7 linked regions of the Xenopus tropicalis genome follow. The protein of the gene in region 3 interacts with the protein of the main gene of each other region in a pairwise test. Links are inferred from orthologs where the notes say so. Each region holds a gene or a part of one and is shown on either strand. Other genes may lie near its edges.

Region 1 (3,500 bases), on a different chromosome or scaffold from region 3:
ATAACCTTTACCAGACTGATAGATCTCAATTACTTTTGTTCTCATTTGTTCCTGAATTTCTTTGGATCTTGGCATGATGTCTAGCTTTTGAGGTGCTTTTGGTCTACTTCTCTGTGTCAGGTAGCTCCTATTTAAGTGATTTCTTGATTGAAACAGGTGTGGCAGTAATCAGGCCTGGGGGTGACTACAGAAATTGAACTCAGGTGTGATAAACCACAGTTAAGTTATTTTTTAACAAGGGGGGCAATCACTTTTTCACACAGGGTCATGTAGATTTGGAGTTTTTTTTTTCCCTTAATAATGTAAACCTTCATTTAAAAACTGCATTTTGTGTTCAATTATGTTATCTTTGACTAATAGTTAACGGTTTTTGATGAGCAGAAACATTTAAGTGTGACAAACATGCAAAAGAATAAGAAATCAGGAAGGGGGCAAATAGTTTTTCACACCACTGTATATATATATATTTTTTATTTTTTTTTTAATAGAAACTGGATTTTCCAGTGTTCCACTAGTGTTTTCACTACATAAATGGAGATCAACACTGAACAGAGAAATTAATTGAATGTGTTCAATTCTCCTGTGCTCAGCATTGATGTACACTCATAGAAACAGTGCAGATTGGAATAAAATAGCAATTGCCTCACTGTGCAGTTAAATGTATAAAGCTGGCCATACACGCACTGATAATATCGTACAGCAGGAGGCTGCTGATATCGATCGACTCGCCGATCGGGTGGGTTAAAAGATTTTGATCGGGCTGAGCAAAATCTGCCTTCAGAGCTGAATCGGCAGAAGGAGGTAGAAATCCTATTGTTTCTACCTCCATATCTGCCGTTTCAGCCCTGAACGTTAGTGGCCGATTGGAACGATCTTTCGTGAGGACGATGGTCACACGAAAGATCGAAAATCGCCACGTGTGTGGCCAGCTTAAGAATCTACCACATATCAAAAAGCAGGCACCTGTGGGTTTGTACCTTAAGTATTATACTACACTTAATTCTCATGTTACGCTGCAAAACATAAATCATATTTCTATAATGCAGTGTTGGAGTGGATTTCCTACAGGTACGGAGGTCTCCTCCCACAGGTCTAAAACATATAGGCAGGTCTGTGCGTATGAATATGATGTAGACTTAAGACTGGAAAGTTCCAGACTGTAAATGATGTATAATTTCTTTAAAGTGCTGTGAATATGCCACACTATATAAAAATAATCATACATTTAAAAACTAACATAATACTTACTTTTCCTTGACTGCATTTCAAATTGACTAAGGAACTGCTTGTTGCAAGGTGTAACAATCGGCTTCTGGCCATGCATCTCTCTTTTTGGCAAAAGATCCATAAGCTTCTTTGATGAGGATTCAGAACTAACGCATATAAGTGCAAACCTTTAAAACAAAAAAGGATGTATTTTTAATATATTTATATACAGATATCCAATTTATTCATGTTCTTTAATTTCATACTACAGGTATCGGACCCCTTATCCGGAAACCCATTATCCAGAAAGTTCCGAATTACTGAAAGCCCATCTCCCATAGACCCCATTTTAATCAAATAGTTCACATTTTTAAAAATGATTTCCTTTCTCTGTAATAATAAAACAGTACCTTGTACTTGATTCCAACTAAGATATAATGAATCCTTATTAGGGGCAAAACAATGCTATTGGGTTTAATTACTGTTTAAATATTGTTTTTAGCGGACTTTAGGTAGGAGAACCGAACTACGGAAAGACCCCTTATTTGGAAAACCCCAGGTCCCAAGCATTCTGGATATTGTGTCTCATACCTGTACTAACATTCCACAAGAGAAAGCCAAAGTAAACAAAAGCAGCAGAGGGGTTAAGATAATTTAGGGAAATGATCTCCAACCAATGTACCCTGCTGTTTTAAAACACAGAAGATGTGCTTGCAAAACAGGGTAAAACATCTAGCACGTGAAATACCAAGCAACTGAGATATTACATTTGTATACCCAAGCAATTATATTGCACACCAACAAAGGATTAAAGCTACAGTGAAACATCACGGCAAATTGATTTCATGTATCTATATCAGTGCTGTCCAACTTCTGTGGTACCGAGGACCAAAAATTTTCTGGCCTACATGGTGGAGGGCTGATAATGGAAGCCAGTTTTGACCACTACCCTTTTTTTAAACTGCACCCACTTTACACCACACCCATGTAATCACAAGAGCTTTTAAGACCATACCCACATTAATGGTGGTAGCACAGCAAAAACCCAGACTTGTTGGTGCTCACTGTAGGGATATTTCCCTTCATCTGAAAGAATTATATTATGTCTAATTAAGACACGCTCTTATATCCACATGCCCCAGCATATAATTACACACCTTAGGGACCATATAATGATTATTTCCAAATGCTTACAAACTCTCAGAACAAACCACTGCCAGGTTCACCTCCCACAGGCAGTGTATTGCACACACAAGCAACATAGGGCAGGCAAATTATAGCACATATACAGGGAACATAGAGCAAGCAGAGTACTGCCTGTGTGTGCCATACTTTGCCTGTCCTACCCTGCCTGCCCTATACTCACTGTGTGCCATACTCTGCCTGCCCTGTGCTGCCTGTCTGTGCCATGCTCTCTGCCTGCCAGAGAATAAAACAACCTGCCTTGACGGTCTAAGAACTTATCATTAAATGCAATTACCAGCGCAGGTAAAAGAACATTTAGATCTTTGCATTTATTTACAAGTATATTAAAATGTGTCCAAAAAAAACCCTTCTGGTATTACTCACCCCCTATAAACCTTCTTGAAACCTTATCCTGACTCAAGACACTGCTATTAACAATGTAATATGGCTGCTGTTACTTAAAGGCAGAACCTTTGTCAAACTTAACATCCAAACCATTAAACCTAAGTAAAACAATTAGCAGAAAATCCAGAAAAGCATCCAATCTTACCCCTTTGACTGGCCATTGGCCCGATTTTCAAAAAATTTTATTTCCAAAATATCATTAACACCCAAAGAATGAACAGCATCTGTCAAGTCTTCATCAGTTGTCCACTGCACAAAGAAAGGAAAATGATGAGACACATTACACCTACAGAAATAAACCATTCTATGCAAAATCATTTATAGAATAGAAATAAATCATGCATAAAAATGCAGCTACTGTATATGCAGAAATGTCAAAAACCACACAAGATAAAATTTAACAATTGTACTTTTCTCACATTTTCCAAGATAAGAAATAATGATGTTCTATAAAGAATACGGAATTTTTTAAAGTGTGCAGGCAGATTTTGCCCCAAACACTTGAGTTCATATATTAATGTAGTTTATATGAAACTGTCAATCAGATTCAACAAAGATATAGGACACACTGTTGAAGTGTAGATAAAGGCAGATATATGCCTTTCACAGGAATAAAATAAATGCAGACAGCATATTTTTAGTGGTGGTTGTTTTCTTGTGCAGTGGTCAAAACACCTTGTGCAGCATGAAATCAACATAAACTA
Region 2 (3,500 bases), on a different chromosome or scaffold from region 3:
CCTGTTGGATTTAATTACTGTTTAAATAATTTTTTTAGTAGACTTAAGGTAGGGGATCCGATTTACGGATTATCTGAAAAACCCCAGATTTCAACGCAGGATTCTGCTGGAGAAGCTCTATTAACTGATGCGTTTTAAAAAAAAAACATGTTTTCTTATGACAGCATTTCTTTAAGACTGTTTATGACATTACCCCCTTAATCTTTTTAAATACTATATAAAGGTCATTCAGTATCGTGCTAATCTGTTTTGCAGGTAACTGAATGTTAATCTATGATTAACATTCCACTCCAGGAAGTACAAAAATTAAAATGCTTCAGAAAGAGAATACATTTCTATTTGCCTTTTTACACTACTAAACAGCCAGATATCTATGGAGCAATATTAATAGCTGAAAAGTACTTTTATATAAAATAACTAACGCATCAAATTACTCACCTGACACATGAATTCAACTGGACTTGTGGCATTTCCTAGCAAGTAACTTAACTCCTCCATGTCAGTGTAATAACTTATTTTCGCCTCACATATTTGTAAATCTCCAGAGAAAACATTTAGAAATACTAGTCCAGCCGGTAAATCTGTTTAGAAGAGAAGAGCAGCATAGGTGAGGGAAACATACCATGGCTATTGTCAGACCACAACTCAACCCACACCATAGTACATTAAATTTGCTGCCCAGAATGTATGGCCAGAGATCAAGAGCAATGGCACATGGTACATTTGTCACCTGTGATAAATTTTGGCTACCACGGATGTTTCCTTCCTACTAGCTAAAATGCAAACCGCTGGTGGGGAAGCATACGCGATGCGGCTACCTCCTGAAGTAGCCTGAAGCGTCCTCAAGAGGCAACTGCAGGCTACCTCACAACAATATGTTTTCCCACCAGCGATTTATATTATTGTCAGTGGGAAAGCTTTTCAGAAGATTAGTTGCTTACGGTAGATTAATCGCCACGTGTCATTGCCCTTAAATAGAAGGAAAGTCATTTTGGCATTTTACTGCCAATAGATTTGCCACATTAATGCAAGTTAGAATGCTATATTTATTCTGCAGAAAGCTTTACCAAACCTGAGTAAAGAGCCCTAGAAGCTCCCTCCATTTGTTTAAGACAGCTTGGTCTCCTGTAGCTTCCTGCTGCAGCTCTAGGGGCGGTAGCATAGATCACACATTCTGATGGGGGGGTGAATTTCACAAAGGCCCAAACAGCACCACAGAGGCCAATATAAAGGTCTGGTATATAGCAACTTACAGCAAAAGTTTCCAGTTTGATAAAGACTATTTAATTCCCTAAAAATTGCCTGCCATGCTGTAAATTATCGGTCCCAACTGTAAACTAAATAGTGAAATAGCAGCATTTCATTAATTCTTCGGGTATTATGTCAGAAAGAAATATTATATTATGCCAACCTGTTGATTTGGGAAAGCCAAAACCACCCCTTGATACACCCATTAAACAGAATTTAACATTTTAAAATTGCTTACCAGGGGCTTCCACAGTTAGAATATATTCATTTTGTAAAGTTGCATGTAGTCGAATGGATTGTCCATTTTGAGGATTAAAATAAACTTCATTTTTAACACAGCAATCAAGTTTACATTTAAAAATTAAATAAATTTGCGTTTTCATCTGTAAAAGACAAAGGAAGAAACAAAATTGCCATTGAATTTAGAAGCAATGATAGCTTTCTGTATTTCTGTATTGCACTGTTTCTGAGGTTTGTATAGTGTAATTGTAGCATGCTGGGACTACAAAGGAATACCTTTCTTTGGTTTGAAGTAAAAGGAACATAATTACCTACAGTTTCTGAAATAGAATACCTATGCCTGTGTTTTCTATGGGTCAATTGTACATGAGAAAATGTATCCACACCAAAAAGTATATGAGGGAGCAAACCCTGTCCAAACCATGAAAACTATGGGACTAATTATGTATGTTACTCCAACCAATCAGAAAATAGTTTTGAAAACTGAAAAGAAAGCACAGAGCTCATCTGGTTGCTATAAGAAACTGCACCACTGCAAGTTAGTAAAATAACTTTACATTTATATCCTGCTGAAAACCTATATGGCTAATTAGGTGGATGTAATGAACCACTTGCAATTACTCCTCTGTGACTGTGGTACAAACTCACCACTCGGTTATCTCTGCCCATAATGTTTTTGGGGGCTCCCAGCAATCATTTTTCTTAATCTACAACCTATTGTGGTCATGAGGGGAAGAATATGGCCCAAATACTTTGGCTATCATATAGACTCAGGGTTCATGGTAGGAAATCCTAGATTTAACATCTACACTTGTTAAACATCATAATTAACAGTTGTGATTTAATTACCGCACACCATGTAGAAGTAGACCCCTGACTATAAGTGGAATTTTATATATTTTCTTTAAATATTGCCTCATATACAAAAGGCTGCCTGACTCAGAATCTACCAAATTCGACATTAACAGAATGGAATTATAGCAATAAAAAGTAGTAGGCACTGCATTGGCGCAAGAAACATCTTAGTTGAGTGCCTAATTTACACGAACCACTAACTACACTGGATATGCCAGAAACTTCCAATTGGACAACCTATAGTTTTCAATCACAAAAAAAGAGGATTCTGTCTGTTAAACCATAGTCCTAAAAGACTCATCAGCTAACATACTTTCTATGTCAGTGATCCCCAACCAGAGGCTCAGGAGCAACATGCTGCTCACCAACCCATTGGATGTTACTACCAGTGGCCTTAAAGCAGGTGATTATTTTTTAATTCCTGGCTTAAAGGCAAGCTTTAGTTGCATCAAAACTATGTATACTTCCACATAAAGACTCCTGTAGGCTGCCAGTCCACATAGGGTCTACCAATAACTTATTACAACCCATATCTGGCACTCCCCCAGTAGACTTTTGGATGCTTGTGTTGCTCCCCAACTCTTTTTACATTTGAATGTGATTCATGAGTAAAAAAAAGTTGGGGACCCCTAATCTACTGTATGTAGTAAGGTTACATCAGGAGAGCTAAAGAGGATCACACTTTCTACTTTGAATATACAATACTGAAAGACACTAAAACCCCCTAGATGCCTAATGAATATGTGAACAGTGCAGACCTTCTAGAGTTATAGGGTTAATTTAGTACTAGGTGCAAAATAGCACAGCCTTATATCCCAAAGTAAACATCATCATTTGGCTTTGATCAATCTAATATTTGGAATAAAGTTACAAACCCCACAGCGGATCCTCTCTGGTTGTACAGATACCAGATTTCTGTGGCTTTCCTGGAATGAAGTTGGTTGGAGCTTTTCAGCTTGAAGTGCATGGCTTCTTTTAGCCTTATCATCTTCTGAATCTGTGACGGAATCAAACCCAGAATCTGAAAGTACATCAAATAAATTATATACTTTATATCTCTATTTATATAATTATAACATGTATTTTTAGCAGCATTGAATACTCTCAGGTTCTGCAGAGCAGATGATGGTTATATAGGGAAAGTTGACCATTAATTA
Region 3 (4,192 bases):
CAGCTGCTATCTTAAACAAAAGGCTTTTTACTCAGGTAGGTAAAGCTTTCTGCAGAATAATTTGGCGACTCTATTGGCAGTAAAATGCCAAAATGACTTTCCTTCTACTTTTAAGTTCTTTAAACGTCGTTTTGCTGCCCCTGGTAAACTTGAGGGCTGCTGCTGCCTGAGACGAGTTTCTCAATTCGCCTTATGGCCGCAGTGCCCCTGTATAATAAAATATGTTTTATGGTTGGACAGCTTTAGTCCACAATAACTATAATGACTATTATGTAGCTTGGCACCCCAAAAGCGACTATACATTTATAAAAGATTTCTAATAAGTACCATTTGTGAAAATAATTATAATATGGAGAATTGTTCATCTAATGAAAATACTAGCATAGATTAGGGGGCACATTTACTAACCCACGAACGGGCCGAATGCGTCCGATTGCGTTTTTTTCGTAATAATCGGTAATTTTGCGTTTTCTTTGCGATTTTTTCGGCGTCTTTACGATTTTTGCGTAAAAACGCTAGTTTTTCGTAGCCATTACGAAAGTTGCGCAAAGTCGCGATTTTTTTCGTAGCGTTAAAACTTGCGCGAAACGTCGCGCCTTTTAAGTTTTAACGCTACGAAAAAGGTGCGACTTTGCGCGCAAGTGTTAACGCTACGAAAAAATCGCGACTTTGCGCAACTTTCGTAATGGCTACGAAAAACTCGCGTTTTTCCGCAAAAATCGTAAAGACGCCGAAAAAATCGCAAAAAATACGAAAAAATCGCAAAAAATACGAAAAAAACACAAAATTACCAAAAAAGTCGCAAAATGTTCGTTTCCAATCGGAATTTTTCCAATTCGGATTCGAAATCGTGTCTTAGTAAATCAGCCCCTAGGTGTATACACAAACTTTATAAATATTGTGATGTCAACAGCTTGTGCACTGCTTCTTTTTCTTTTTTTGATGAACATCTTAATATCTACATTAATTTCAGGTAGCTAAAATATGAAAGTGTGTATCAGTGGCTTTTCGAGACAAGGCTCTGATGGCAGCAGGTACTGTTGGCAACAAGGACAAAGTCTTTCTTTCGTTCCCTGTCACAATTCAGAACTCCGACTAGAAAATATGAATGACTTCTGAGGAAACATCGGGGGCAGAGGCGGCAGCGAGCATGGCGGTCACCCAACACCAAAGAAAAGTCTTTTTTCTTTTGTTCTCTATCAAAAGTAGGAGGTGCGAGCATTGGAAAAAGAGATTGGGAGCTGACCAACCGCGGCTGCCTAGCAGCTTCCCACCGTGTAACACTGAGCCAGGCCGGCTCGTCACTCCCACAAGGCGGCGCGCCAATGTGTCAGTGCGTTACGTGTAGCGGCGATGCCAGTCTCGCGTGAGGAGAGATGTGGCGCTGGGAGTGTGTGTAGGACCGGAGCCTGCAGTAACAAGCTCTTCGGGAGATGTAAGTAGCGATACGGGACTAAGGGCTGTGTGAGGAACAGCGGGACTGTTGCAGTATGCACTTACTTCCAGACTTGGGGAGGCAGGGCGGGAGCTGGGGTACCAGCATGTTCTTTCCCATACATAGGTTTCTGTACCAGTGGTTTTGTGACAGAAGCTTTAGTCCCGGTAGAGCTGGATTGGTTAAGCTGGGGGTGAAGTTCAAACTCCCTCCTACCCTATTCAGTTCCCGGGACTAAAACTTCTGTGACAGAACAAGCAGAATACAAGCTGTGTAGGAGAAAGAACATGCTGGCACCCCGCTCCCGCCCTCCCTTCACAAGTGTGCAGCTCATTGACATGAACGGGCTCGGTAATCCTGCAGCGCTGCCGGTTCCCTTTAGGACCCAGAAGTCACCCACCCATTCGCCACCGATGCTGGCCCTTCCTTTGAGGGTCCCCAGGCAGCTGCTTCGCGCACTGAGCTGCTGTTACATGCGAATGATTGTATTCAGTGTGCGGGTCTGTAGCGCTGCATATTGTCTGTGTGAATACATTAGTGCGTGGGGGAAGCCTTTGTGCTATTGCCTTTACTTTCTGGCGTGTAAGTTCTTGCAATAGGGACTCTTTTTTTCAGTGCAGTTGTAAATGAATTCGATCCTCGCACAATAAATGAGTTGAAGGCGGGGATGGGGCGCAGATTTAGCGCACATTGATATTAAAGCTGAGTGGTTGTGATAAGTGCAAAGCAGGGCCAACCTGCAGCCCCACAGTTGTTTCCTATCATGCACCACCTCCAGCATGTGGCAGCTAGGTGTATGTGGGCTGGCATGGGCTGCTGGGAATTAGAGTTCAAAGGCTAAAGAAGGTTGGACATAACTGAGGGCTGCTGAATTTGGGCATTTTAGGTTTTATTGGTGGGGTGAATACCCTTCTATTATCACATATTCTCAGTATTAACACATTTGCTGCTGGATTCCAAGCTGTCTCTGGATGCAATGTCAGCACTAGAACTATTCATCAGAAGTGTTTATTCTGTTGAGCAGCAGCACACAACACTATGGGATTTATTTATATTGCTGTGTACGAGTATGTGGAGTGAAACATTACCGGTGATGTTGCTCATAGCAGCCAATCAGGTGCTTTGGTTTTCTAACTGTTGAAATCTGCTTGCTGATTGGTTGCCTTGGGCAATATCACTACTTTTTACACAGCAAGATAAATATACCCCTATGTGTGATGCCATGTGTTGGCAGGAGTGGTGTAAAGATCTATGTCACTGGACTCCAAGGAGGTGGAAGATGCCTCTCTCAAGGCATGAATCATTCCTCGCATTTGCCCGTCTGACTTAGTCTAGTCTGGGTAAGGTAGATGCAAGTAGGACTACTACCTGCTTGAATGTGTAAGGGTGACAATAAAGCTGGAAATGAATAGGTGTCTGGGTCCACTTTTTAATGGTCTGGGATAGGGTTCTTGGTCTTATTAAAAGCAAAGCTTAAAGCTTCAGTGAACAATGGCATTCTTGATCATTTCTTTCTTTATACTTTGTGGCAACAGTTTAGGCAAGGTCATTTTATGTCTAGTATATTAATACCCATCTTGCACAAATTGGTTTGCTGAGATGCAAGCGAAAAAGATTGATCTCAATCCAACTGATCACCTCTGGGTACAGCCCCCTCCTTGGCTCCTAATAAGTTTACAAATATAAGTACACATGCACTTACTGAAATTCTAGGCATGCCCAATATAGTTGATAAGCATTTACTCTTAAGGGTATGGCCATGCAAGGTGAATTGTTAGCCTGCATATAAAATAAATGCCACCCCTGCCATCTTAGTTACATTACCCAGGTGTCCTGCTTTAGATTTAGACTGAGATGTATATGCAGTAGGGTAAAAATTTCCATTTGTACTCTGCTGAGGTAGAAATACCTGATACTGCAGCCAGTATATAGCATTCCTAACATATTGGCACCATTCAGTGAATCAGGGTTTCCTTATCCAAAATTGACTTTAAGGCTTGGCCCTCCCTTCTAGTACTTCTAGTACTTCCCTGTGAGGCCATACCCACAGTTTGGCAACTACTGTTGCAGGATGTGTATCCACATGCATCTGAAATATTAATGTGCATTGCATTAAACACATAGGGTGTATGTTTGTTTGTTTTTTTCAATATGATTATAAATGCACAATATTTTGTCCATGCTTGTAGTTATGTATGTGTGACAGTAGTATGTATAAGTGATCACTTTATACAACAACTAGGATATTGCCATGCATACATTGTAAAATGTAACTGCAGATGGAGAAAAGGAATGTGTTTCAGGTAGCAGGTAAGCTTTTTTTCTGTTTTTAGTCTCCTGATACAGAGATTCTTTTTCAGTATTCTGTGTTCCACAGTCTCTCCATGTTCACTGGCCATTTGTGGTGTGTTTAGATTCAGTGGGTGGCAGCAGATGTTGAAATATACATAGGCTATAAATGTGCTTTCACAGACTGCATTGCAAACTTTGGTTTACAGCTGATTGAAAACAGAGCAAGGAGCATTAAAAATACAGTGCAATGCAGGTGCTTACGCACAGTCTTGTGAGTATGATGCTGTAGAACAACATGTGTTTATTTTAAGATCACTTTTTATGCAGTTGTTCTATAGATTTTGAACTCAATTGGCATAGCAGATGGCCGATATATTATTATGGTACAGTAGCTTTAAGGGGCATGGATCTCTACACATAAAAAAAAAAAAAAAATACACTACAGGTATTAAACATTATAGGACT
Region 4 (3,500 bases), on a different chromosome or scaffold from region 3:
AGTAGAAATTAGTGCTTTATAGTGCCCCATAATAATGCTACAGTTTGTGCTTTAAGATAACCAAATCAAACTGCACACTAAATTCTATAACCATAAGTCCATTTGTGGGATTCCAAAATATGTTTTGGTTCTCTTGTAAAATCAGTTAACCAAAGCAGATAACTGGGTTGCCTTATGACCCAGTTTAGTTTTGTCTTTTGTCAAAATAGCCCATTTATATACAAAACGTTTTAAAAGTAGCAGTGTTAGTTAACACTGCTACAAGGCTATTTATCTCTTGTTCTTTGGGGTACTGGTTAATTGCTGTAAATGGATATTTCTAATTGTTGCAAGTTATTTGGGGCTTTTAGGCTAAACAAAACTAGTGAGTTCTCATATCTAGATATCAAGTTATCTAGGTCCAAAGTTAATAGTTCTTAAATCCAAATGAACATTCTGTAATTTCATTGTTGTCTGTGTACATTGTCATATTTTATAGGCTTGCCAGAATAACCAGAAAAGTTGCTCTTTTTGTCAATTAGGAGTTGAAAGCAGTTTGCCCTTTTCCATAAATATGGCAAACATCTAATTGATTTTTGTTTGTTCGACCAGGCACAGTTTTGCCATTTTACTACATAACCCCCATCTGTAAGTAAAAAAATTATAGCCTCCTGCTCATATTTGTTGCAGGCTCATTGGAGGTACCCAGAAGAAGTGCAACAGTTTGATTTTGTGCAGTCAGTCATTAGAACTGTGCGCAGTCTGCGAAGCGACTATCACATGACTAAGGCACGACCAGAGGGTGAGTACAGATTGGCATTTGACTGCATACAAGCAAGTACTATTCAGTAGTAGTGTAGCAAAAGGCTGATGGAGGAGGCCAGGGGTTGGGAGGAAGGGTTTAATTATTTTTAAATGTAAAAAAATAGTGTACTTTTTTGATGTTACTGGTCCTTTAACTGATGCATGTTGGGAGGCAGGACACATGGACATACAATAATGGGAGTGATTTTACAAACATGAAATGTTAAAGGAAAATATACTGCTGAATACCTCTTCAAATTTTGAACTGGCAGACATATGTCTGTGTGATACGACGTATTGTATTGTAGCCCCAGGCCCCAGCTCTGCTCTCACCTGTAAGCAATGTGAGAGGAGCCTAAGGGGAACTACAAGACAACTGATGTGTTTTTGCCTCTTAAAATGCTACTGCCACAGACTCTATTTGCTGCAAAAACAAGAGCCATGCTTCTACACAAATGCAACACAGTTTTTTGTACTTAAAACCAAGCTTTATTTACCTTTCTGTTTTCTTATTAGTTCATATTTTCTGCTCCATGGAAGAACATCTCAATGCTCTTCAGTCATTTCACTCACATTTGCCGACTCTGTCTCACTCTGGACCCATCCAAGTCCATATGTTGCAAGATGCTTCTCAGTTCAGGGAGGACCCTGTTGGCTGGGCTACAGAAAAAGTGTCTGAGGGCTGTTACCTTCGTGTTAAACTCCAGGTACTATCTATGTACCATATAAGTGGTTGTGTTATTAAAGCAGTGTCAAGTGCAGTTTAAGTGATCTTTAGTCTCTTAGATGTCCAGTTCTTCCACCTAAGGCTGCCATCAGAAATTGTGTGCCCCATACTACTACGTTATTTAGCTTAAGATTCAAAGTTAACAATTACTGCCCTAGATATTCTACAAAATAGCTGGTAGGGGTACCCAGAATAAATGATAGATCAAAGTATGGGGCTTTCATTAACCCAAAAAATATCTTAGTCATTTTTAAAGACAGCAGCTTGGTCTCTTTTATTTGTGTTCTCCTGCCATAGACTTTATTTGGTAAGACTCTGATCCTAAGATCTTTTGGCTAACTAGTTCTCTTTTCCACCATGCTGCAGTCTGAGAACTATAGCAGTCAAAATCACCTACAGTTCCTGAATTTGCTTACTATTTATTTAAATGGCAAAGCTCTGCTTCTTGGGAATTTCAGGTGTGGTCATAAACATGGATGCAAGCTTTCATATGTGATCCCTACCTGTGGTTGCTAGTGCTTTACATAGACAGAGCATATCTCTTTCCTTTAACAAAAATCTGCTCCTAGGTATTGTAGTTTATCTAAAAGAAGCTGGTAAGACTGAGCTGCTTTCAGTGATGTTTTGAGCCTTTAAAGTACAGGTATAGGACCTGTTATCCAGAATGCTCGGGACCAAGGGTATTCCGGATAAAGGGTCTTTCTGTAATTTAGATCTCCATAACTTAAGTCTACTAATAAAACACTAATTAAACCCAATAGGTTTATTTTGCATCCAATAAGGATTATTTATATCTTAGTTGGGATCAATTACAAGGTTCTGTTTTATTACAACAGCGAAAAGGGAAATCAGTTTTAAAATTCTGAATTATTTGATTAAAATGGAGTCTATGGGAGGCGGGCTTTCCTTTCTTCTGATTCAGAGCTCTCTGGATAACAGGTTTCCGGATAAGTGATCCCATACCTGTAGTACCCTTTTTAAGAACTTTAAGAACAAAATTGCTGTTATTCTTCTAACCATTCCTCACTTAGTAGAGTAACAACAAATATTTATTCTTTTTGGGTTTGGGTAAAATTCATAAAAGTAAATCTTAATAATTGGTGAGGAAAAAAAGGTTGTTGATTTTCTAGGTTGTTCAATCATTATGTATCTCACATTGCAAAGAAAAATCACCAAATATTGCAGTGGTAGAGAATATGAATTGTTGCATACGTTATTGCAATTTTGTTGTGTTGTATCCAACTAATGACATAAATGGTTCCTTTGCATGCATTTTCAGCTCCTCTCACTCTTTTTGTTTGCCCATCTCTCAGGGTTTACTAGACCCCCACACAGAGCTTGCAAAACTGCACAAAAAGCATCAGAATCTTCAGCTTCAGTTTATAAACATGTCAAAATATGAGAATGGCGATAATGAGGTTGGTTCCCTCTCTCCACGTGTAATGTTACTCTGACTTTTGTTTATTTTATTTATCCATCTCTATTGTCCTCCCTCTCTTCTGATGAGTACCTTTACTCTTTTCTGCCTTGTTGGTTCTCTATTTAACTTTTGTATTTTCTGTGGAATGCTATTACATGTTTATAGCATTATACAGATTATGGTTATCAGGCAAGTGTAACATAATATTATTTAATAAAGAATCAGGGGACTCACTGTGTCTAATATAAGGGAGATTAGGGTTACACAGCATACAGGCTGTGAGGAGATTATGGAGGAATACAGCCCATTTCTGTTTCTTTTTTAATGAACAGTGCGTGTCTGTACAGTCAGACTTAGAAGACAGACTAGCTCTGTTCCTAATAGTAGGAAGTATGTGTGCGCAGTGATGGGTCTCCCAACTGTGTATAAGTGTTCATGCGACCCTTTAACTATGTGTAATTTTTTTTATACCATACAGAATAGTAATTAAAACAATGTACTTGATAAGCTATAAGCCCCCTTGTCCCTGAAAATAGTTTTGCACTGGCGGTGCCAGGAATCCCTGTCCAA
Region 5 (2,755 bases), on a different chromosome or scaffold from region 3:
CAGATAGTTGTCTCTTTGTGTTTTAGCAGAGGTAATTCTCAGTACTGTCTATGGCAGGGGATTTTCAGATGTTCTTCATCCTATAGCTTGGCAAGCAGAGAATTATTGTAAATCATGTCTATCAATCGAACCCATGTTCTAAACACAATACAGGAAGAACCAATCCTCTTTGACAGGTAAAGTAAAAGTCAATTCCCCCAGCCAGACAGCCACTTAAACTACTACACAAAACACCCTGTGTTTCAGATGATCACTGGAAAAAGCAACTTGCCTGGATGCATAGCTGCAGACTGAAAAGGAAGTGGGACTTGAGGAGCAGCTGCAGCTGCTTGCCCGGCGCCTGTGACAGGAGACATTGGAGGAGGCGGCATTGAGGGTGGGATACCCGGCGGCATTGCACCAGGTGGAGGGACAGGAGGAAATGTGGGCATGCCTGCAAAAGAGAATCAAGTTAGGGCACAATGATTAACAGCTTTGTTGGTAAATGCAATCCTATACTATCTATTTACAATGCCAAAACTTGGAAAAAGTCTATCAGTTTTCTGACACTTCATAGCATGCCTGGTGCATATATTTTGTTGGGGTCACCACAGAAAGCAACAGACAGAAGATAAACAAGTGCTTCTTTGCAGGGTGCTTATTTGTACTCTTACAATGAAACAAACATTCTGTTTCTACACTGACTGCTTTCCATGCAACATTGCTCGCACCGCGGCACTTAAAATCCCAAATATTCAATCAACAGCCCCAGAAAAGCATGTCTTTATATGGTCACAGAACCCCTCAGTGACTTCTAATATCCTTATAATTTACAGTAGGGGGTACATTATCCCTTATAATACATGAGTGATACTCAGAGTTCCCTGTATAACTCAGCCTGCAGCCTTGTGCCTTTATATGGGCACAGAACCCCTCAGTGACTGCTAATATCCTTATCATTTACAGTAGGGGGTACATTATCCCTTATAATACATGAGTGATAATCAGAGTTCCCTGTATAACTCAGCCTGCAGCCTTGTGCCTTTATATGGTCACAGAACCCCTCAGTGACTGCTAATATCCTTATCATTTACAGTAGGGGGTACATTATCCCTTATAATACATGAGTGATAATCAGAGTTCCCTGTATAACTCAGCCTGCAGCCTTGTGCCTTTATATGGTCACAGAACCAGTGGCTTCTAATATCCTTATGTTTTTACAGGTACATTATCCCTTATATTTTTATTATATGGCTCCTTACATAGAATATTTCTGGGAAATTTGAGTCCAGACCAATAGAGAATAAAATGTCAATTTGGTGCCCAGACAGACAGAATTGATTACCTAGCTAGCTTTGCCTTCAAGACATATCTAGAATATTCATTGTGTTTCATTCCTGTAGAAAACAAAGCTGGCCTGTCTAACTAAGGCACACAAAGCCAGAAGGTTAACACTCTCCATGATAGATAACATCCTTCACTTAGTAAAACCCTTAATTCAGTACATACTTAAGATCATAAGGCCAAAACCCCTGCAAACTTTCAGGGAGATCAGATGATTTGCCAGACATCTATCTTATTAAAAAAAAAAGTCAACATTCAACATTGCTGTTGTAACAAAACTACAACTCCCAACTTCTGGCACTTTCAGCCCCACAACCAGTCCCTGCTTTAATGCCAGCTGAAAAGCAAAAATACCCACCTGCAGCAACTGCACTTGTTAATGATGTAATGACAGCTGGTACAGACGGAGGTGGAGGGGCATCGGCGAAAAGCTGGTGAGGCCGGTCAGCCTGTGAAAGTGGGTTTTGGGCAGCCAGCAGTCTCTCTGCGGCCGACCCATGCCGCTCTCCTTTGGAGTCCTTCTTGAAAGCATAGGAGACGGTGATGGGCCTGTTGCACAGGTACTGTCCGTTCATGGCCTCAATGGCTGCGTCCGAAGCATCAAAACTGGCAAAGTTGATGAAGGCATAACCTTTGGAGTTGCCGGTGTCTGGGTCTCTCATGATCTTGGGGGTCTGCAAGATTACACCAAAAGCGCTGAAGGTGTCATAAAGCAACTTCTCATCAATCTCTGGGTCCAAGTTTCCAATGAAGATGTTGGCGCCGACATCCAGGTTTTTGTTGTGCGCCGAGGCTTTATTTACTCTAATGGGTTTCCCATAGAGCTTTATCATGTTCATAATCTTTATGGCGTAGTCGGCATCCTCCTCACTCAGAAATTCCACAAAGCCATAACCTGGAAACAAACCATCAGAGACTGTATCACCTGTCTGTTATCTATACATATACTCAGCACGGAGTGCAACATGGCAGCTTCCATAGCTAGAAATTGATGACCCACCCCGCCATTAAAAAGGAATGATTCCTTTGTTTTCAGCAAAGCCACATATGATATTGTAGCAATGTTATCAACTAACAGTAACAAAGATGTATGATCCTGGGGGTGGAAGGAAGGACAACATAAAAGCACTATTGCTGTGAGATGCAAAGCATGTACACTTAGGGTGAAGACACACAGAGCTACTTTTTCAAGGCTACTAAATGCCAGAAAATCCCCTGCCAGACAATAGTGAGAATTGCCTCTGCTAAAACACACGGAGACAATTATCAGCAAATGATCAGCATTGTCTATTCCCGTAGCTGTGACAAGTAGCTGCTACAAGTAGCTGCTACTAGTAGCTCTGTGTGTCTTCAGCCTTAAGGTTGAACACACATGGAACTACTAATAGCAGCTACTTGTTGTGGCTACTAAAAAAAAAAAAAAGACAGTGCT
Region 6 (4,007 bases), on a different chromosome or scaffold from region 3:
TGTACTGCCTTAAAAAGACCAGTGCATTAACCATGGAATCAAATTCTTACCAAAAATCTCTTTCCGGTAATGCCTTGCTTTTTGACCAACTTTTCACAATCACGAAGGTTGTGCTTTTAAAAGGAAACAAACATAAAGGCATTTAAAAAAAAAACACACACACAAATTAATTACATTTTCATTACATAGACATAGAGTAACCAACTCATTAAGAACTTAAGAACTGATTATACCTGATAATGACACAAATAACGGTTTATAACAATGTATGGGTATTCATATGATATACTGTATTCTATAAAATGGCTTTCTGCTGACTTCATATAGATTTTATGGTGTTGAGGTAATAATACCAAAGCAAATTAGGAAAGCATAGATTTAAATATAATTATCTCATTCACAAAAAATCCTTAAATCTCTCCTGTTTATACATGACACATTAATATTAAGGAGTAAATGATGGATGCATAGAGAGACTTTTATATATACAGCAGAACCCCCATTTTACATTTTTCAGGGGACCAAAAAAATAGTATAAAATCAGGAAAATGCTTTATGCACTATATAATGGTCGAACCACAAAAAAAGGGTATAAATAAGGAAAAACTTTAAATCAGGGTATGTAAAATTGAGTTTTTACTGTAGTAGTAAGTTTGCTAAAAAATATTTTATAATTTACTGATCTACAGGAGAAAAAAGTAAATGATTTGACAAAGCATTGATAGCATTTGAGATATTGCTTGTAGACTAGCATTGATGCTACATTAGTATTATTCTTTGGTCTATATAGTCAATGCAAATGTTGTTTGCGTGTGGGTATGTGTGTGCATTAAGATACCCACTATGGAACCACATTAACCACTGACCACAGGTGTTGAATATGTAGTGGACAACACTGCCAAGCTACAAGATATCTATTTCATTGCTGTTAATGGCAATGTGTTACTGAATATGTTATTCCATAGGCTGCTAGCAAAACAAGTAGAAATGGGACCTGTTATCCAGAATGAATGTCACCTGGGGGTTATTAGATAAGGGATCTTTCCGTAATTTGGAATTCCATACCTTAAGTCTATTAAAAAAAACATTTAAACATTAAATAAACTCAATAGGATTGTTTTGCCTCCTATAAGGCGTAATTATTTCTTAGCTGGGATGAAGTACAAGGTACTGTTTTATTATTACAGAAAGAAGGAAATATGTTTTAAAATGGGCCTTCCCATAATACTGAGTTTTTTGGATAACGGGTTTCTGGATAATGGATCCCATACCTCTAAAATAATGTAACATTTTTTAATGACTTGTGCATGAGACTACATTAATTTAAAGCCCAGTAACAACACAATTTTAAAAGAGTTGTGTCTGCATTTAAATATAGTGACCTGCCACCCTTCACTTGCCAATTTGCACATTTCATTCCAGGGTTCTAACTGAGTTTATATAAAGAAACTACTTTGCCAGCTGATATTCAGGCTTCAGTTGTGCTGTAGGCCCCCCATTTAGAATCCAACTGTTTTAAACATTAAGTAAAAAATAACAGGGAACGGGGGTAATTTATAGCTCACTACATGCAAAACCTCTCTCATGTAAAACAGAGACACATTCAACATTTGACGTTGTTGCCAAACCATTATAAGGCCTTTAAAGCATTTTGTCAAACATAAGCGAAGGTAAGAAACAGCAGGGAAATAAAAGGTGGAAGTACAGCCAGTAAAGGACATAGGGGACACAAAACATTAGTGAGCAGCAGTAAAAAGGCTACAGTATTCCAAAAAGTTCCAAATTTGAGCTCAGAGAGGTGCAGCATTACTTTTATTTTGCATGGCACAAGTCTAGCCTGAATGCTAACACATGGCAAGGGTTAAACTGGCTCATTCAGATGGAGCAAACATTGTGGCATCACAGAGCTTATATGGCACAAATGGTACAATATGGTTCATGCCACAATGTGTGAAACATCTAGATAAAATGAGCTGTGTCTGTATTTCAGCAGACAAATTGCATATGGGGTAAGAAGGACTATAGCTAGGCAGAGACAAAAAGTCCAATAAACAATTCTGTCAATAAGAGGCTAGAAGCCAAGAACAAAATAAATGGGTCCCTTCTATCAAGGTCTCACAATATTTAGGAGAGTTGGAAACTGAAAACACAACTTAGTTCTGAAAAGGAAACTACTGAAAAAAGTATTTATTACTGAAAATAAATATGTTTATTTTATGTACAAATCTTAGAATGCAAGTGGTAGAAATATACTAAAAAATATATACTTTTTCTTTTCTTAGATAATAACAGCTACAAAATGCGTATCATTAAACATTCCTGCTTGCATTCTAAGGTTCTAAAAACAGGTTCTAAATACTGTGTTGTTACTGGCATTAAACAGAGTCTCACCACCTCCTGTTGACTTCTATAGGAACCACTTGATACCGCTACTGCAGAAAGTTCTTAGCTCTTATGAGCTGTGTGTGTGTGTGTAAAATGTATAACAGCAGAATACATACAGTATATATATAGTTTTATATAACAGTACTTACAGCTCTAAAATATTCAATGAGAGCTTCAGGGCTCCAACAGCTGACTTCGGAACATGAAGGGATGCTTCGGAAATCCATGTTTTTTCTCTTCTTTCTTTTTTTTTACAGAACAGGTTGTTTCATATTAGTCAGTTGCCTTCACAGTATCCCTTTGGCCAAGCCAAGAAGTTTAAAGATGTTGTCTATTCCTGTGAAATTTGTAGTCAGTGCCTGCTTTAGTTAAACAATACAGACACAATACACAATGCAGCTTTTGCCATTCAGTTACACTGAATCATCTTTTGAAAATGCAACTTCCCCTTGGTGTGAACGTTCGCTTCTCAGAAAAAGGCAACTGACTTCCTGTACCACTTCCTCAAATGAGACTCGTTTATGGTGTTAAGCTGTAGCTACATTAAAAAAAATAAACAAAACAATTATTAATCATACTCCTTCCCTTACAGCACTATTAATAGGGAATTTATGGCGCATACTTTATTTAATGGCACACAATTCTCTATTAATTGTTTGTTAACTTTGGAACTGTATTCCTAAATACTAGGCATGAAATTACAATTCAGATTATATTGAAAAAATGCAATTTATTGGGAATTGTGTACGAAATAATATAGTTATTGAGGTAACAAAAAGGCATAATCCATGTCTGTGAGTTGCATCTGAGAATAAAGGTTTAGAGGGGTGTTAGAGCTCAGTGCTACTTCCTAGCTCTAATACCCCACACAGTAGAATGGTGTTAGACAGCTCCGAGGTGCATAACATATCCTGCAGAATAGACACCACATCTTGAAAATGTGATCAAATCCAGCAGGATTCCCTCGTCTGAATTTTAGCAAAGAGGCCACATCCATTTATTTAATAAAATAGAAGTAAGGGGTCTTTGCAAATTGCTCCCCTGGTAGTTACGCCACTAGTGACTGTGTTAATCAGCACTGTATTGGTGAGGGGTGGGAGGCATGTGGGTGTCCCCCCACTTGTCCCCCACAACCCTCTAATTTGTACATCATTCAAACTTGCAAAGTAAAGAGCGGCTTAAGGTGGCCATACACGGACCGATTTTTTACTTACAAACGACCGATTCGCGAACGATCCGATGCTATCGTTAAGTTATCGTATAGTTGGTGGTGTACGAACGATCGTCGGCCCACTAAACGAGCCGACATTATCGTCCCCAAAATCGATCGGCCAGGTTTAAAAATTTTGGTCGTTTAACGATAAAATCTGCCAGTTGGTGTGAGTGTCAGACATTTGTCTTTCAACGATTGTTCTCTGCGCATGTCACGATTGCCAGCAACGACATCGATCGTACGTAGATGTACGATCGTAGGTATTTTACGATAATGATGCGACAAAATCTTTCCCGAATTATCGTTGCCCGTGGATGGCATATCGTATGGGAACTCGATCGCCATACGATCGTTTGTCGATATAATCGTTCATCGCACAACGAGCGAAATCGCCTCGTGTATGGCCACC
Region 7 (2,168 bases), on a different chromosome or scaffold from region 3:
AAAAATCTAGTTTGGTTTTTTTTTTCTTTCCTGAGAGCAAACAGAGAAACTGAAGCTACTCTATGTTTGTTTCTTGCAAGGAAGGCAATCAGATAACCAGTATACAACCCTCCTACCTTCCCTCTTCGTTGTGACTGTTTTGTTAGCAGGAGTCCATTATGCAGAAGGATTATCTGTGCACTGGAAATCAGTTATTTACCTTACAAAGACTAAACATAGAGTAGTACATAAAGTGTGTTCAGCAGAAGCACCTTTAATGATCTATAGCAGGGCTGTGTTGAACCGGGCCAACTCTGCTCCCAATTACTTGTGATCCAAACTCCCTCATGCGTTACACAGCCATGACAATAGCTATGCAAAGCCCAGGGAGATTTCTACTGATTACGACAAGGACCAAAGTACTTTATTAAGCTGTATGTAATAATAATATTAATAGTAAAGTGCATATTATAAAATTTAACTAGCACTAGTTGCGCCGCACCCCCCATCCCCGGTCCTTGGAAAAATTGTCTTGCTTGAAACCGGTCCGTGGTGCAAAAAAGGTTGGGAACCATTGATCTATAGCTTTTCTAACAACAACAGTTCTTTAAGATCAAAATGCCTGTTCCTGAGCAATGCTGCTGTCAGTCGGGCATCACTCAAGAGTGGTGGATGTCAGCATTACAAAGAGACTGCATTATAGGCAATACAATTCTCATTCAGGTAAAAGTACCTGCCTTGTGGAGATTAGTCTTTTTAGACTGTGTGTTATGAACACAATGACTTTACACAAGTATTTGTCCTACCAAACAATTTTATTTGAATAGTTATTATGCTATATTGTTTGCTTTACTACAATCAAAACCTATTAGTAACCACATTTTAAAACAAATATCCATGCAAAAAAGCATTTATACTTTCTAATTATTAAAACATATAGCTTTGTATCTTTTAATGCAATTACAACTGTGCTTCCAGCAGGATTATGTGTAGTTCCTGAAAAAAAGTGCTGAATTGGGGGATCGTGGCTGAATACATGTCATAAACTAATAGTCTGAATACAAATTTTTGTATGTTTAAAAAAAAGTGTTCCAAAGGCTGATTATTAGTTTTATATAGTTCTGATGTTTTTTTATGTACAAAGCATTGTCGTCTTTATTGTAGTTACTACCCGCTAATTGCGGTATTTGGCTTGTGTCTCTCCTTAGGCACAGCTGGCTCAGGCTTTGTACGACAATGCTGCTGAAAGCCCAGAGGAACTGAGTTTCCGCAGGGGCGATGTGATGCTAGTTCTGGAGCGAGATGCTCCATCCCTTGGTGGATGGTGGCGTTGTTCTTTGAGAGGGCAGCAAGGCATTGCTCCTGGAAATCGTCTTCAGCTTCTCCCTGAGACATCACAACAGGAAAGCGAGTATCAGGCTCCCCGTTTTCTGGGGGTCACAGCAGAGGCTGGAAGACTACATATAAATGAAAAAGGAGCACAAGAAAATAGGGAGGAGCCTCAAAATCATGAGACAGGGCCCCAGCATCAAACTGGAACTGAGGTGAGGTATATGGATTGGATGCCATCAGGAATTAGGAAACTTGACAGAGAATGTAATAATATAATATTCCCCATTCTTCTTTTTAGGTATACCAAGTCCCTTCTATTGCCCGTCTTTGTCTCTCTGCCCAACCCACAGAAGCTCAGGATGACATTTATAACTCACCACGTCTGGTTGGGCCATGTATACAACAGCCATTGGAGGTGAGACCATCAGAACATTCCATTTATTGCACACACCCACATTTAATGGTATCCTAACAACATGTTTAGACTGTACACAGAGCTCCATTATTTCCACAACTTAGCAAATATAATATTATCTTGTTATCATAAAGTCACCTTACGCCAAGTGCTTTTGCACTACATTTATCCACACACTGCTGCCACTCATATTCAATCATCTTATTGCATGTTATGGATTCGTTACAAGCACAATTCTCAATATGATTGTAGCATCAAGTTTCACTTTTCAATAAGTGTTTTTTAATTGCAGGTTTATGATACTCCTGCTGCACTAAGAAGAGAGCCAATTTCAGCATTAGACATTTATGATAGTCCTGCGTTGAGAGTGAAGTCTACAGATTCAGCTGCTGTGGTGCCTGAGGAGATTCCAGAAGATATCTATGATGTTCCTCCTACATTC

What was found.
Region 1: the proteins of nck2 (region 3) and cpsf6 interact in binary tests that used the Homo sapiens proteins (3 or more experiments, as listed by UniProt). The two-hybrid records come from large-scale screens. The link is inferred for Xenopus tropicalis from reciprocal best matches to the Homo sapiens genes NCK2 and CPSF6.
Region 2: the proteins of nck2 (region 3) and pik3ap1 interact in binary tests that used the Homo sapiens proteins (3 or more experiments, as listed by UniProt). The two-hybrid records come from large-scale screens. The link is inferred for Xenopus tropicalis from reciprocal best matches to the Homo sapiens genes NCK2 and PIK3AP1.
Region 4: the proteins of nck2 (region 3) and vars2 interact in binary tests that used the Homo sapiens proteins (3 or more experiments, as listed by UniProt). The two-hybrid records come from large-scale screens. The link is inferred for Xenopus tropicalis from reciprocal best matches to the Homo sapiens genes NCK2 and VARS2.
Region 5: the proteins of nck2 (region 3) and sf3b4 interact in binary tests that used the Homo sapiens proteins (3 or more experiments, as listed by UniProt). The two-hybrid records come from large-scale screens. The link is inferred for Xenopus tropicalis from reciprocal best matches to the Homo sapiens genes NCK2 and SF3B4.
Region 6: the proteins of nck2 (region 3) and lcp2 interact in binary tests that used the Homo sapiens proteins (3 or more experiments, as listed by UniProt). The two-hybrid records come from large-scale screens. The link is inferred for Xenopus tropicalis from reciprocal best matches to the Homo sapiens genes NCK2 and LCP2.
Region 7: the proteins of nck2 (region 3) and efs interact in a two-hybrid assay, tested with the Homo sapiens proteins (2 studies listed by BioGRID and IntAct). The two-hybrid records come from large-scale screens. The link is inferred for Xenopus tropicalis from reciprocal best matches to the Homo sapiens genes NCK2 and EFS.

Annotation. Positions count from the first base shown.
Region 1 is NC_030679.2:58,918,288-58,921,787, forward strand, and holds part of cpsf6 (cleavage and polyadenylation specificity factor subunit 6), read right to left. Parts: intron 3,046-3,500; coding exon 2,942-3,045; intron 1,395-2,941; coding exon 1,249-1,394; intron 1-1,248. UniProt on the Homo sapiens protein: Component of the cleavage factor Im (CFIm) complex that functions as an activator of the pre-mRNA 3'-end cleavage and polyadenylation processing required for the maturation of pre-mRNA into functional mRNAs.
Region 2 is NC_030683.2:39,660,191-39,663,690, reverse strand, and holds part of pik3ap1 (phosphoinositide 3-kinase adapter protein 1), read right to left. Parts: intron 3,365-3,500; coding exon 3,219-3,364; intron 1,632-3,218; coding exon 1,487-1,631; intron 582-1,486; coding exon 439-581; intron 1-438. UniProt on the Homo sapiens protein: Signaling adapter that contributes to B-cell development by linking B-cell receptor (BCR) signaling to the phosphoinositide 3-kinase (PI3K)-Akt signaling pathway.
Region 3 is NC_030678.2:110,108,230-110,112,421, reverse strand, and holds the start of nck2 (cytoplasmic protein NCK2), read left to right. Parts: upstream 1-1,392; 5' UTR 1,393-1,435; intron 1,436-4,192. UniProt on the Homo sapiens protein: Adapter protein which associates with tyrosine-phosphorylated growth factor receptors or their cellular substrates. Maintains low levels of EIF2S1 phosphorylation by promoting its dephosphorylation by PP1.
Region 4 is NC_030684.2:75,890,494-75,893,993, reverse strand, and holds part of vars2 (valine--tRNA ligase, mitochondrial), read left to right. Parts: intron 1-669; coding exon 670-781; intron 782-1,299; coding exon 1,300-1,490; intron 1,491-2,823; coding exon 2,824-2,928; intron 2,929-3,500. UniProt on the Homo sapiens protein: Catalyzes the attachment of valine to tRNA(Val) in a two-step reaction: valine is first activated by ATP to form Val-AMP and then transferred to the acceptor end of tRNA(Val).
Region 5 is NC_030684.2:128,884,673-128,887,427, forward strand, and holds part of sf3b4 (splicing factor 3B subunit 4), read right to left. Parts: intron 2,219-2,755; coding exon 1,682-2,218; intron 434-1,681; coding exon 272-433; intron 1-271. UniProt on the Homo sapiens protein: Component of the 17S U2 SnRNP complex of the spliceosome, a large ribonucleoprotein complex that removes introns from transcribed pre-mRNAs.
Region 6 is NC_030679.2:32,310,005-32,314,011, reverse strand, and holds the start of lcp2 (lymphocyte cytosolic protein 2), read right to left. Parts: upstream 2,801-4,007; 5' UTR 2,613-2,800; coding exon 2,535-2,612; intron 114-2,534; coding exon 51-113; intron 1-50. UniProt on the Homo sapiens protein: Adapter protein primarily involved in signaling pathways within T-cells, as well as other immune cells such as platelets, mast cells, and natural killer (NK) cells.
Region 7 is NC_030677.2:139,732,673-139,734,840, reverse strand, and holds part of efs (embryonal Fyn-associated substrate), read left to right. Parts: intron 1-1,187; coding exon 1,188-1,523; intron 1,524-1,609; coding exon 1,610-1,726; intron 1,727-2,018; coding exon 2,019-2,168. UniProt on the Homo sapiens protein: Docking protein which plays a central coordinating role for tyrosine-kinase-based signaling related to cell adhesion. May serve as an activator of SRC and a downstream effector. Interacts with the SH3 domain of FYN and with CRK, SRC, and YES.